3 linked regions of the Callithrix jacchus genome follow. The protein of the gene in region 2 binds, or shares a complex with, the protein of the main gene of each other region. Links are inferred from orthologs where the notes say so. Each region holds a gene or a part of one and is shown on either strand. Other genes may lie near its edges.

The links. The genes of interacting proteins can lie anywhere in the genome.
Region 1: the proteins of GIGYF1 (region 2) and EIF4E2 are in contact, whole or in part, in a crystal structure (PDB 5NVK), measured with the Homo sapiens proteins. The link is inferred for Callithrix jacchus from reciprocal best matches to the Homo sapiens genes GIGYF1 and EIF4E2. Residues at the interface, in NP_001362694.1 of Homo sapiens: Leu36, Ala37, Asp38, Tyr39, Arg40, Tyr41, Gly42, Arg43, Met46, Leu47, Leu49, Tyr50, Glu53, Asn54, Lys55, Val56, Pro57, Glu59, Leu60, Glu64, Phe65, Ala67, Val68, Leu69, Gln70, Asp71, Glu72, Pro73, Leu74, Gln75; in NP_004837.1 of Homo sapiens: His54, Pro55, Leu56, Gln57, Tyr64, Lys83, Gln84, Ile85, Gly86, Val91, Glu92, Trp95, Arg96, Phe97, Tyr98, Ser99, His100, Met101, Val102, Arg103, Leu107, Phe113, Ile137, Arg138, Leu139, Arg140, Gly142, Leu143, Ser145, Arg146.
Region 3: the proteins of GIGYF1 (region 2) and TNRC6C are in contact, whole or in part, in a crystal structure (PDB 7RUQ), measured with the Homo sapiens proteins. The link is inferred for Callithrix jacchus from reciprocal best matches to the Homo sapiens genes GIGYF1 and TNRC6C. Residues at the interface, in NP_001362694.1 of Homo sapiens: Tyr479, Asp481, Pro482, Gln487, Phe490, Trp498, Tyr503, Phe504, Leu508; in NP_001136112.2 of Homo sapiens: Arg1719, Pro1720, Pro1721, Pro1722, Gly1723, Leu1724, Thr1725.

Annotation. Positions count from the first base shown.
Region 1 is NC_133507.1:153,938,135-153,942,203, reverse strand, and holds part of EIF4E2 (eukaryotic translation initiation factor 4E type 2), read right to left. Parts: intron 1,241-4,069; coding exon 1,136-1,240; intron 1-1,135. UniProt on the Homo sapiens protein: Recognizes and binds the 7-methylguanosine-containing mRNA cap during an early step in the initiation. Acts as a repressor of translation initiation.
Region 2 is NC_133503.1:13,041,570-13,045,638, forward strand, and holds part of GIGYF1 (GRB10-interacting GYF protein 1), read left to right. Parts: intron 1-7; coding exon 8-103; intron 104-269; coding exon 270-381; intron 382-479; coding exon 480-588; intron 589-820; coding exon 821-861; intron 862-1,048; coding exon 1,049-1,219; intron 1,220-1,447; coding exon 1,448-1,701; intron 1,702-1,797; coding exon 1,798-1,909; intron 1,910-2,529; coding exon 2,530-2,667; intron 2,668-2,864; coding exon 2,865-2,962; intron 2,963-3,101; coding exon 3,102-3,273; intron 3,274-3,379; coding exon 3,380-3,546; intron 3,547-3,633; coding exon 3,634-3,764; intron 3,765-3,842; coding exon 3,843-3,965; intron 3,966-4,060; coding exon 4,061-4,069. UniProt on the Homo sapiens protein: May act cooperatively with GRB10 to regulate tyrosine kinase receptor signaling. May increase IGF1 receptor phosphorylation under IGF1 stimulation as well as phosphorylation of IRS1 and SHC1.
Region 3 is NC_133506.1:133,834,567-133,838,635, forward strand, and holds part of TNRC6C (trinucleotide repeat-containing gene 6C protein), read left to right. Parts: intron 1-3,345; coding exon 3,346-4,069. UniProt on the Homo sapiens protein: Plays a role in RNA-mediated gene silencing by micro-RNAs (miRNAs). Required for miRNA-dependent translational repression of complementary mRNAs by argonaute family proteins.

The DNA of each region.
Region 1 (4,069 bases), on a different chromosome or scaffold from region 2:
TGGAATGCAAACAGAAGGGTTCGCCTGCAGAGAAGGGAAGATTTAGAGATGGTGGGAGATGAGGCTTGAAAGGTAAATTAGAGGACAGGCATGGTGGCTCACCCCTGTAATCCCAGCACTTTGAGAGGCTGAAGCAGGCAGATCATGAGCTCAAGAGATGGAGACCATCCTGGCCAACATGGTGAAACCCAGTCTTTACTAAAAATACAAAAATTAGCTGGGTGTGGTGACATGTGCCTGTAGTCCCAGCTACTTGGGAGGCTGAGGCAGAAGAATCACTTGAACCCGGAAGACAGCGGTTGCAATGAGCCAAGATCACATCACTGCATTCTAGCCTGGGTGACAGAGTGAGATTCCATCTCAAAAAAAAAAGAAAAAGGTAAATTAGGTGCAAGATCATGTGAGCAATGAGGAGCTGTATAAGATGGGCGGTGTGGATGTGACCACATTTGTCTTCTAGAAAAATGACATGACATCAGAATAGAAGATGCATTACACCAGGGCGCAACTGAATACTGGCTCTGCAAACAGTTCTAGGTCTCCAGTTACTACCTTTAAGCTTATTTTCTGACCCACTTTAATCATATGTGTACAACATAAAAATATTGCACACACTGCCGGGCGCAGTGGCTCAAACTCATCTCTATGAAAAATACAAAAAACTAGCTAGGAGTGGTGGCACGTGCCTGTAGTCCTAGCTACTTGGGAGGCTGAGGCAGGAGAATAGCTTGAACCCAGGAGGTGGAGGTTGCAGGGAGCCAAGATCGTGCTATTACACTCCAGCCCTGGGTAATAACAAGATCGAAACCCTGTCTCAAACGAACAGACAAAAAAAATTGCACACACATACAAACAAGTTCTATAAAGATAAGAGTAACTGAAAAAAAAAATCCTTTAATGTTCTAATACCATTTTAGTCATAAAACCATCTTTAAAAAACACCCAGCATCAACCCACACAGACAAAAAATAGCATCAGTGTATTTCTCTAGAGGCTCAAGTTCCAAGGATATACCAGATAGTGATGCAGTTTTGAGAGAAAACTTTAAAATACTTTTAACCTTGGGAGGGCTAAGACACAAAACAAAAAAACCCAAACCTGCTCAAAAAAGCAATCAGAGGCCATTAGTCCTTACCTCCCACATGGGTTTAATTCCTTCCTTGAAGAGATGGAAGTCACTGTGGCCTGTCAGGTCTCCAGGACGTACCATGTGGCTATAAAACCTCCAGAACTGCTCCACCTGCAGAGACAAGACCCCAGAGTAAAAAAGGTGTTGGTGTCTTTTCTTTTTCTTTGAATGCATCCAGAGACTGAGATTAAGTTAAGAACATAAGCATGGAAGACACTATACTACAGGCTGTCCTTTTCAGAGGACTCATTCTCATTTGTGGCATTCTGAGGGAAGACATGTTAGAGGAAAAGCCTACCAACTAGTTTGACAAAAGAAAACATGTAACATTGGCAATACAAGAATAAAATCTTTGGTGAGAAATGCTAGGCTCAGCCAGGACCTTCAGCTGGTGAAACCATGTCAATATGCACTTTCCCACTGAAGCTGCGGGGTAGTCATCACGTGCAGTAAGAAGACAGCTTTTTGCACAATGGAAACTCTTTAGCCTTGAGGTATATTAAGTGCCACACAGCCTCAGCAGGAATGCATTTTTTAGAACCAAATCACTTACTGATCAAAGATTGTTTAACTGGCAACACAGCATTTGCTGAGTGAAATATCTCTTAGAGCTGTTAGTTACTAAGCATAAGTGACAGAATCAAGCACGTATACCACACATACCACTCCACATCACGCTAAGACCGGGCCAATCCAAAATCACACAGGACTTAGCTTCTTATAGCTAGAGTTTAAGGCCTTCTTCTTAGCTAGAAAAAGGTTTCTCCTTGCCTCTCCTTCACAATCCTGTGAGAAAGCTAGATTTATATTTTCCTATCAAGTATATGCTTATTTGTATTCATCACAGTAGTCCCGTTTTGCTTATTAGTGTCATCCCCCCCCACTCTTTTTTTTTTTAAGATACAGGGTCTATACAGCAGTATGATCATAGCTTATTACAGCCTCTAACTCCTGATCTCAAGTGATACTCCTATCTCAGCCTCCCGAGTAGCTGGGACTACAGGCTCATTAGTGTTTTGATAGGAGAAATAACTTCCTTATTCACAGAGGATACCTACTAAGTACTGGCCAGTGAAGAGGTACACTTTAAGAGGAAAGAGAAAACATGGTGCAGTCTGATGAGAAATAGCTAGTATTTGCCAACCTGCTGAGGAGCTCGATATCAACATATAGCAAGATACCATAATTGTGGAGCTGACAATGGGTATTGAGTAGACAAGATTCAGGTCATACTTCTAGATCTGAGGAGCACCCAAGGAGAAATCAACCTTACACTGTGTGAAATGGCTGTCCCTTTAGTTCCTCTCTAGCACAAGAATATGTGACACATCTTACATGTTAAATAGAAGTCAGAAACTATAGGACTTCAAAGCAGTGCTTCATATCTCAGCAACTGCTAAGCTTAACTGCATGTAGTGATTTGGGATAGCAACTGGTCATATGAATACAATCAGCAATAATCTAAACCATTATCCACCCTAACATAGTTGCAGAAAAACCACATCTCTCCACTAGAACCAAGTACACCCACTAGTGGCTCACTGTGAATAAGGAACTGAAAGGGGCGTGGAAAGGAGAAAGTATACCAACCATTTCCAATTCCCCAGTCAACAATCACTTCAACACTTTAGTCTCCTCCAATCTTACAACTATACCACTACCTCCAAGGCTCAAGCAATCCTCTGGCCTCAGCCTCCCGAGTAGCCGAGACAAGTGGACACCACCATGCCCAGCTAATTTTTTACTTTTTTTTGGTAGAGATGAAGTTTAACCTGTTGCCCAGCTGGTCTTGAAGTCCTGGATTCAAGTGATCCTCCCTCTTTGGCCTCCCAAGGTTCTGGGACTATGCCTGGCCTAAGAAGTATTATTAAACTTTAAAAGATTTATTTGGATAGTTCTAACTGAAACCAAAAAATAAGCATTCAGACTCAGAATATGAGGTGTAGAAAGGACCTCAGAAATAATCTCAACAACTTTACTTATTTTATAGTTGAGAAAACAGTTACAAGAGTTGCTGTAACCCAGACAGTCAAGCACCAGAAGAGGTTAGCTCTGATGACCAAGTCCAGTGCTCTTTCCATTTCAAGATGATACCTTCCTAATCATGCTGACTTTAGTAACTTTTAAATGTTGTTAATTATTAGGCTAAGAATCACTGGGAAACGCTGCTTTGAATTCAATAAAAGGATTCATCATGTAATTATTTCTTTGTGATGAATTTAACATCGTGAGCCATTTCCTAATGAGGTCTGAATTACATGACAGACTGTATTTCTATTTTTCAGATCCAGACCTACAGAGTCAAAATGACAGACTTTAAATACTGTCACACATCCAGTGAGCAGTGATGAAGCCTTAACCCAAGACAGTCCTGATGATAAACCACTCCTTAACATATATGTCAAAAGGAAAGAAAAGAAAAACCCTCCTTGTATAAGCCAGGTATTCATATATGCTTTTTCACAAAAGGGAAATAAAATTGCAACCCACCTTTTTTTTTTGAGACAAGATCTCACTACGTTGCCCAGGCTAGTTTTGAACTCCTGACTTCAAGCGATCCTCCTTGGCCTCACAAAGTGCTGGCATTATAGGCATGAGCCACCAGGCCTGACCAAAATCTTTAAAATCAGTAGTAAACCTGTATCTTCCAAGGCAGTATTCCTCAAACTGGAATCAAATCCTTCTTTCCTCCAAACTCCAAGAGCACTCTACATGCTTTCCCATAGCACAACTTATTGTCTACCCTGTATTAGAAATTCTTGGGCACATCTTATTTCCCCAAGGACAGGATCTGTGCCTTTATTCCTTTTAGAAGCCTACTAGGGTCTGGAATTCATTCAACAAGTATTTCTTGAACCAAATATGAACCAGTGCACAAACTAGTTATATTATTTTAACAAAGCTGTTTGATACTAAGATAGCACTGGTGAACTAAACAAT
Region 2 (4,069 bases):
CTGCCAGGTCCCTGAAGAGCTGCAGGACAAGGAGTTTGCTGCGGTGCTGCAGGATGAGCCGCTGCAGCCCCTGGCCCTGGAGCCGCTGACTGAGGAGGAGCAGGTGGGGCCGGGCCAGGAGCTGAGGCCATGCGGGCCAGGAGGGGAGGTCATGGGTGGGGCTAGTAGAGGGGCCAGCGCTGGGGAGACAGGCCCGGAGGGTGCTGTGGGGTGGGAGAGGGGGTGGTGGGGTGTCTGGGTCCTCATTCCCGCCTCGGCTCCCTCCTCAGAGAAACTTCTCCCTGTCAGTGAACAGCGTGGCTGTGCTGAGGCTGATGGGGAAAGGGGCTGGGCCCCCCCTGGCTGGCACCTCCCGAGGCAGGGGCAGTACTCGGAGCCGAGGTAAAGGGGTGATGGTGTGTCCTGGGGGCGGGGAGATCCGGGCCCCCGGCTTCGAGGGTGTGCAGCAGGTTTCAACGTGTGTCTCACTCTTTCTCTAGGCCGTGGCCGCGGTGACAGCTGTTTTTACCAAAGAAGCATCGAAGAAGGTGATGGGACCTTTGGACGAAGCCCCCGGGAGATCCAGCGCAGCCAGAGCTGGGATGACAGGTGGGGCCAGGAGGGGGTTCGGTGCAGAGCAGGGCAGGCCATGGAGGGTTAACAGAGGCCACCAGATAAGCCCTGTCAGAGATCCCTCTGCTCCTGAGGACTCCTGATTTCCTATGTTCTCCCTCCTTCCCTCCCTCTGCTGCCTCAGGGCACAATGGACAAGGCGCACAGTGGTTGTGCAGGGTTGGGGGGAGGCTGTACTGTTTTTGACCCACACTTTTCCCTGCTGCAGAGGCGAGAGGCGCTTTGAGAAGTCAGCAAGGAGGGATGGAGGTATGAGGCTGCTGAGGGAAGCGGCCAGGGCAGGAGGGATGACCAAGATGGGTGGCCCAGTCGGGAGGGGTTTATTTCGGGAGGTGCTGGGGCAGGAGGGCCTGGAGCTGGCCCCCCATGTTTCCTAAGGGTCTTCCAGGCACTGCACTGTCTTTCTGATAACTGCTTCTCTCTCCCCGTTCTCCAGCACGATGTGGGTTTGAGGAGGGAGGGTCTGGCCCAAGGAAGGAGCATGCCCGCTCAGACAGCGAGAACTGGCGCTCCCTACGGGAGGAGCAGGAGGAGGAGGAGGAGGGCAGCTGGAGACTCGGGGCAGGGCCCCGGCGAGATGGTGACCGCTGGCGCTCCGCCAGCCCTGGTAAGCTTGGGGCCCGGTGGCTTTGGTGGGGGCTTTGGGGGCCAGGAACTGTCATGAAAGGGTGGACTCCTGTGGGGAGCGAGATAGGGAGCAAAGGCTGGCTGGTGTGGAGTGGCCTGGAGAGCAGTCCTGGAGGTTCGGGTAGTTCCTGGGACACCTGGTGAGCTGCAGGAGAGGGGCCGCCGGCTTCACTCGGGTACCCACTCTCCTCCAACTTTTCCTGCGCAGATGGTGGTCCCCGCTCTGCTGGCTGGCGGGAACATGGGGAACGGAGGCGCAAGTTTGAATTTGATTTGCGAGGGGATCGAGGAGGTTGTGGTGAAGAGGAGGGGCGGGGAGGGGGAGGCAGCTCTCACCTGCGGCGGTGCCGAGCGACCGACGGCTTTGAGGAGGACAAGGATGGGCTCCCAGAGTGGTGCCTGGATGATGAGGATGAAGAAATGGGCACCTTTGATGCCTCTGGGGCCTTCTTGCCTCTCAAGGTATCTGTGAAGAGCCGAGGGTGGGAACCGGCCCTTTGGGGTCCTCTTCCTCCCTGCCCACCCAGCTGTTCTCTGACCCCTCCCTACCCCATGCAGAAAGGCCCCAAGGAGCCCATTCCTGAGGAGCAGGAGCTAGACTTCCAGGGACTGGAGGAGGAGGAGGAGGAGCAGCCTTCCGAAGGCCTAGAAGAGGAAGGGTCTGAGGCGGGTGAGCCTTCAGGGCGGCCGTCGGGCCTGGGGCTGGGCTGGGCTAGGTGGGCATATGGGTTCTTTGCTAGGTTGGGCGCTGGCTGCCCACCTACCTTACCTGTAGGACCAGGCCAGGCTGCTTCGAATCGGAAGAAGAGTGCTGAGAGGTGGAGAGGAAGCAGGGGAGAGCAGAGCCCTGCCTTCAAGGCAGTGTGCCAGATAAAAATCAGGCATAATCAAAATGACCTTTGAACGTCCCTTGAAGGCCAGGCGTGAACGTTCACGCCTGTAATCCCAGCACCTTGGGAGGCTGAGGCGGGCGGATCACCTGAGGTCAGGAGTTCCGAGACCAGCCTGACCAATATGGTGAAACCCCAACTCTTGAAAAAGCTGTAGAACTTTGGGTGAGGTCTGCAGTGCTGTATGGTGTTGTGTGGCGTTGTGGTGTGTTCTGCCACATCTGGCAGCATAGAGGCGAGGGTCAGGGCACCGCATTCCCATTCCGCTACTGGTTGACTCCAGTGAAGTAGACTCGGCCAGGGGGCTGTGACTCTGTTCGAGCCACACTCGAGGGCTTGTGCTAACTCGTGTGGCAGGCCCAGCCCTTGTTTCTGAATTCTGGTCATCTCCATCTTCTAGGTGGGAAAGAGCTGACCTCACTGCCTCCTCAGGAGGAGAAGCCCAATTCCCCGTCCCCACTGCCCACCTTGGGCCCACTCTGGGGGACAAACGGGGATGGGGATGAAGCTGTGGAGAAAGACCCCACAGCGGCCGATGGTAGGAAGGGAGGATGGCTTACCTCCCGGGTACCCTGGGGCTGCACGAGAAGGCACTCCCCTCCCATGGGGGTAGGAACACAGGGCATTTACGTCAAGGAGCCATGGCAAGAGCATGGTGTTCTGGAGTAAGGGTGGGTGGGGGCTGTCTTGTCTCCTCCTGCCTTCCCTTCCACCTCCTGTTTTCACACCTTCCAGATGATATTCGGGGAATCCAGCTGAGTCCTGGGGTGGGCTCCCCTACTGGCCCACCCGGAGATCTGGAGGATGATGAAGGCTTGAAGCACCTGCAGCAGGTGTGGGGCTGAGAAAGCTGGAGGGACCCTTCCCACTGCTCCTGACCTTCCAAACTGCCTGGCTCTAGCTCCTTCTCTTCCCCATCCTGATCTTGCTGAGATTGGCAGCTGAACCTTGCTTCTCTTCCTGGGTTTCCAGGAGGCGGAGAAGCTGGTGGCCTCCCTGCAGGACAGCTCCTTGGAGGAGGAGCAGTTCACGGCTGCCATGCAGACCCAGGGCCTGCGCCACTCTGCAGCTGCCACTGCCCTCCCGCTCAGCCACGGAGCTGCCCGGAAGTGGTTCTACAAGGACCCGCAGGGCGAGATCCAAGGTACCTGTGTGGGGCAGGAGGACTGCTCAGGGCCGTTCTGGTTCAGGGTGTCTCTGGTGTACCCCTTAACCCCAGTGGTTCTCCCGATCCCTCGATCTCTGTCCAGGCCCCTTCACAACACAGGAGATGGCAGAGTGGTTCCAGGCCGGCTACTTCTCCATGTCGCTGCTGGTGAAGCGGGGCTGTGATGAGGGCTTCCAGCCACTGGGCGAGGTGATCAAAATGTGGGGCCGCGTGCCCTTCGCCCCAGGGCCCTCGCCACCCCCACTGCTGGTGAGCCACTTCTCCGCTGCATGAAGGGATGGGGTGTGGTGGGGGGGCGGACAGGAGCCCAGCGGAGCCCCCTCCTCCGTGCCTCAGGCACTGGCTCAGCTGTCGCCTGAGCAGGGCAACATGGACCAGGAGCGGCTGAAGAAGCAGCAGCAGGAGCTGGCCGCGGCGGCCTTATACCAGCAGCTGCAGCACCAGCAGTTTCTCCAGCTGGTCAGCAGGTATGGGGGCCCGGGGTGGGCTGGGGGAGGGCCAGGCACAGGCTCTGTGGCCCATCACCCCCGCTGTCCTGTTGGCAGCCGCCAGCTCCCGCAGTGCACGCTCCGGGAAAAGGCAGCTCTGGGGGACCTGACGCCACCGCAGCAGCAGCAACAGCAGCAGCAGCTCACGGCATTCCTGCAGCAGGCACTCAAACCCCCCAGGTGCGTGGCCATGCAAACTCAGGATACAGGGCAGGGGGGCGGGGGCGGAGCAGAAATAGATGTGGGGTCCTGAGCATCCATGATTTGCCCCTCAGAGGCGGGGA
Region 3 (4,069 bases), on a different chromosome or scaffold from region 2:
TATGCCACCTCATTTGTATCACATTTAAGCATGAAAATTGAAAATTTTAAAAATATTTTTTAAATAGAAATTATACAGAAAATAATATAACTGTATTCACAGTAGAGATACATAATATGATGTCATATTTGCTTCAGAGCTCTCTATTTTAGATATGTTATAGGTGTCCCCATCCCACCCACAGAGGGAACCACAGTTCACAAATTGTTGTGTTATGTCACTTTCATAATGTCAATGTGACATTAAAGTGCATTTCTTGATTGCTCATGAGGTTGACTATTGTTTCATGTATGTTAATGGCTATATGAGTTTTCTCTTTTCTAAATTGCCTATTCCTATCATTTTCCCATTTCTGGTTGGGTTGTTGGCCTTTTTCTTACTGATTTTTAGGATTTTTTTTTTTTCATTTGAGATGGAGTCTCTGTCACCCAGGCTGGAGTGCAGTGGAGCGATCTCAGCTCACTGCAACCTCTAGCTCCCAGATTCAAGTGATTCTCCTGCCTCAGCCTCCTGAGTAGCTGGGGTTACAGGCATGCACCACCACACCCAGTTAATTTTTGTATTTTTAGTTGAGACGGGGTTTCACCATGTCAGCCAGGCTGGTCTCGAACTCCTGACCTCCAGAAAGCCACCCCTCGGCCTCCCAAAGTGCTGGGATTACAGTAAGGTGAGAGCCACAGTGCCCAGCCAGGAATTCTTTAATCTGATAACCATACATTATCTGTTCCCTGCCTGTGGTCTGTGTATCTTCTCCCTGCCTGTGGCCTGTGGCTTGGTTTTTTAGTTTCCATTATGTGATATCTTTTGTTATATAGATGTTTTTAATGTTAGCATAGTTGAATTTATCACCTGTTTATGTCTTATGTATTTCATGTCTTCTATAAGAAGATACAGTGTCCAAGATCATAGAGATGGTCTTCTATATTTCCTTCATAAGCTTTAAGAAGTTTCGCTTTTCCTAATTAGATCTTTATCTAGAATGTGTTTTTGTATATTATATAAGGGATCTACTTTCATTTCATGTGGCTAGACTGTTGTCCCACAGCATTTATTAGCCACCAGCTTGTAATGCTCTGCTTCTCTCAAACCTGTCATTATAACTGAGTGTGAACCTGTCAAACTGGGGGCTGAGCAACCCTCAAGTCCTCAAAGCAGACCGTGAACAAAGGGCAGATTCTTTCACAATGTGACTATTGTGGAATGGAACCAACAGTACTGTGTATTCAAATGGCACCTCACTTATGGAAAAGAATACATTGGTCAGGCAGGTTGTTAACCTCCTGCTTTCTGGGTTGCAGTGAGTGCTGTCCTAGTCTGGAGGCAGTCCGCTTTATGGCACAACCAAACAGATGGTAAAATGAAATGTGGCAATATTTGCTGGCAACAAGCCATAATCTTAGTATGTTAACTTCGTCTTATTTTCTATGTTAAATGAGGAATGGCTCATTTATCTCTTTAGTTAGTTATTGTATTAGTTTTTAGAGTATGTTTGAAACCAGATTGTCATAAACCAGGGTTATAGAGCCAACCCCTAATATTTGGCAGTGAGAAGAACTTAGTGGTTTTCTAACAGTTTCAATACTTAAAGTTTTCTGTTGCCTGGGCACAGTAGCTCACGCCTGTAATCCCAGCTGGGAGGCCGGTGCAGGCAGATCACCTGAGCTCAGGAGTTCCAGACCAGCCTGCCTAACATGGTGAAACCCTGTCTCTACTAAAAATACAAAAAATTAACCAGGTGTGGTGGCATACACCTGTAATCTCAGCTACTCTGGAGGCTGAGGCAGGAGAATCTCTTGAACCCAGGAGGTAGAGGTTGTAGTGAGCAGAGATTAGGCCACTGCACCCCAGCCCAGGCAACAGAGCAAGACTCTGTCTCAAAAAAAAAAAAAAAAATGCTGTTGCCTGTCTTCATTTTCCTTTGTAGTTTTCACCTGGAATTTTGTACCTACCTTGGAATCACCTAGACCATCATTCCATAATCATTACATTGCTCTTAAATCAGGCAATAAAAATCTCTCTTATGTCGATATTAGCTTTAGTATGGTCTTTCTAATGATAATGATAATTTTTTACATGTATACTCTTTTTCCTTTAGCTCTATCAAACTTTAAAAGAGAATTTATTTGGCAAATTCATGTTCTAACTGTCCATAATATTTTTCTTGTTAAAATAAATTTGAAGAGAACCTAATTTAAAAGATTCTAAAAGATAAGAAAATGTTTTATTGCAATTTAATTGTATATTGTAGTATTTAAAGAAACTCACCTGAGATTTCTAAATTATATATGTGAGTTGTTTGTTTGGGTTAAATTTTTTTAACATTTCTTTTACTTTATTTCTGATTGATAGATACTTTAAAAGTCTGCCGAAAAGTTGATTGGAATATAAGTTTAATTGCAATGTTGGAAGTACTCAAATAATTATTAAAGTCATAGGAAATAATATGCAGATCCCAAACAGTGGATTCTTTAAAAGGACCCAAAGAGTTATATAAATACTATAAGAAGATAGCATATAAAGTTATTCTAGGAATCTCCAAAGAAAAGGCTCTAAAGAAATAGAAAACAAGGATAGATGGAATCCTTGGAGACCCAAAAGATACCACCTATAGGGCTGAGATTCTTTTTCTTTCTTCTTTTTTCTTTTTTTTTAGCCATGTCCTTGAGTTGCAGATTTTTTTAATTAATGCACAGGAGACAACAATAAACTAAATTGTAGATAAGATCAGATAAAGTAGCATAAATCTAATTAAACATTTCTAATCCTTAGTATTCTTGATAAACATAAGAGAGCATTGTCTCATATGTCTTGTCTCCCTTTCCTTCCGTCACCTCTTCCCCCACCCCAAATATTGGTTCTGTTATGATTTCTGCAAGGCAATTTACAGTTTGTTTCTGCTGAAAGCCATGTTCTTCCTCTATATAATACTGTAATTAGAGGTCTTAAAGAGAACTACAAGTTCTGTTCAAAACTCCATATGAACTTACTGTCATTGCCAGTGTGTCGCAGTCTCTGTTTACAGGAGTTTCAAAGTCACGTGTCTTTCAGAGCTGCCTTTCCTACAGATGCTTTCAGAGATCCTTATGTGCTAATGTGCATTGTGAGTATTCTCCAAGGGGAATAATAGTATGGTGTAGTGGTCGGAATTGATACAATTTTAGAAACATTAACGCTTTTTTAAAATGGAAGAAGCTATTTAGCTTTTTTCTTTAAGTCGTTTTTTTAGTGTTTGTCATTCAGATTTGAAGACTTGAAATAAAGAGCTTCCCCAAAGACTAGTTAACAGTTGATTCATTGACAAATGGGTAGAAAATCTAATTTTGAATTTTGTTTCATCTTTTTCAGATCTCAGTCATAGTGGATTGGCAGATCATTATGAAAATTCCCACTGGGGACAGCAGCCTACTTACAGAAGTGAAGCCAACTGCAGCTGGGATAAAGTGATAATAGATAGGACTGACAAGGAGGCGTGGCCTTCCATCACAGGAACAGAGACTGAATCTGCCTCAGAATGTACTACAGACACTGACTCTGCCTCCAACTGTGGCTCAGAGAACAGTAGCATGGCTACAGGGAGTGCCCAGGGCAACTTCACTGGACATACCAAGAAGACAAATGGCAATAATGGCACCAATGGCGCACTCGTCCAAAGCCCTTCTAATCAGAGTGCCCTTGGAGCAGGAGGAGCGAACAGTAATGGAAGTGCAGCCAGAGTGTGGGGTGTAGCCACAGGCTCCAGCTCTGGCCTGGCTCACTGCTCTATCAGTGGTGGGGATGGAAAAATGGACACCATGATTGGAGATGGGAGAAGTCAGAATTGCTGGGGTGCTTCCAACTCCAATGCTGGCATTAATCTTAACCTTAATCCTAATGCCAACCCAGCTGCCTGGCCTGTACTTGGACATGAAGGAACCGTGGCAACAGGCAGCCCTTCCAGTATTTGCAGTCCAGTCAGTGCCATAGGTCAAAATATGGGCAACCAGAACGGGAACCCGACAGGCACTTTAGGTGCTTGGGGAAATTTGCTGCCGCAAGAGAGCACAGAACCACAAACGTCCACTTCTCAGAA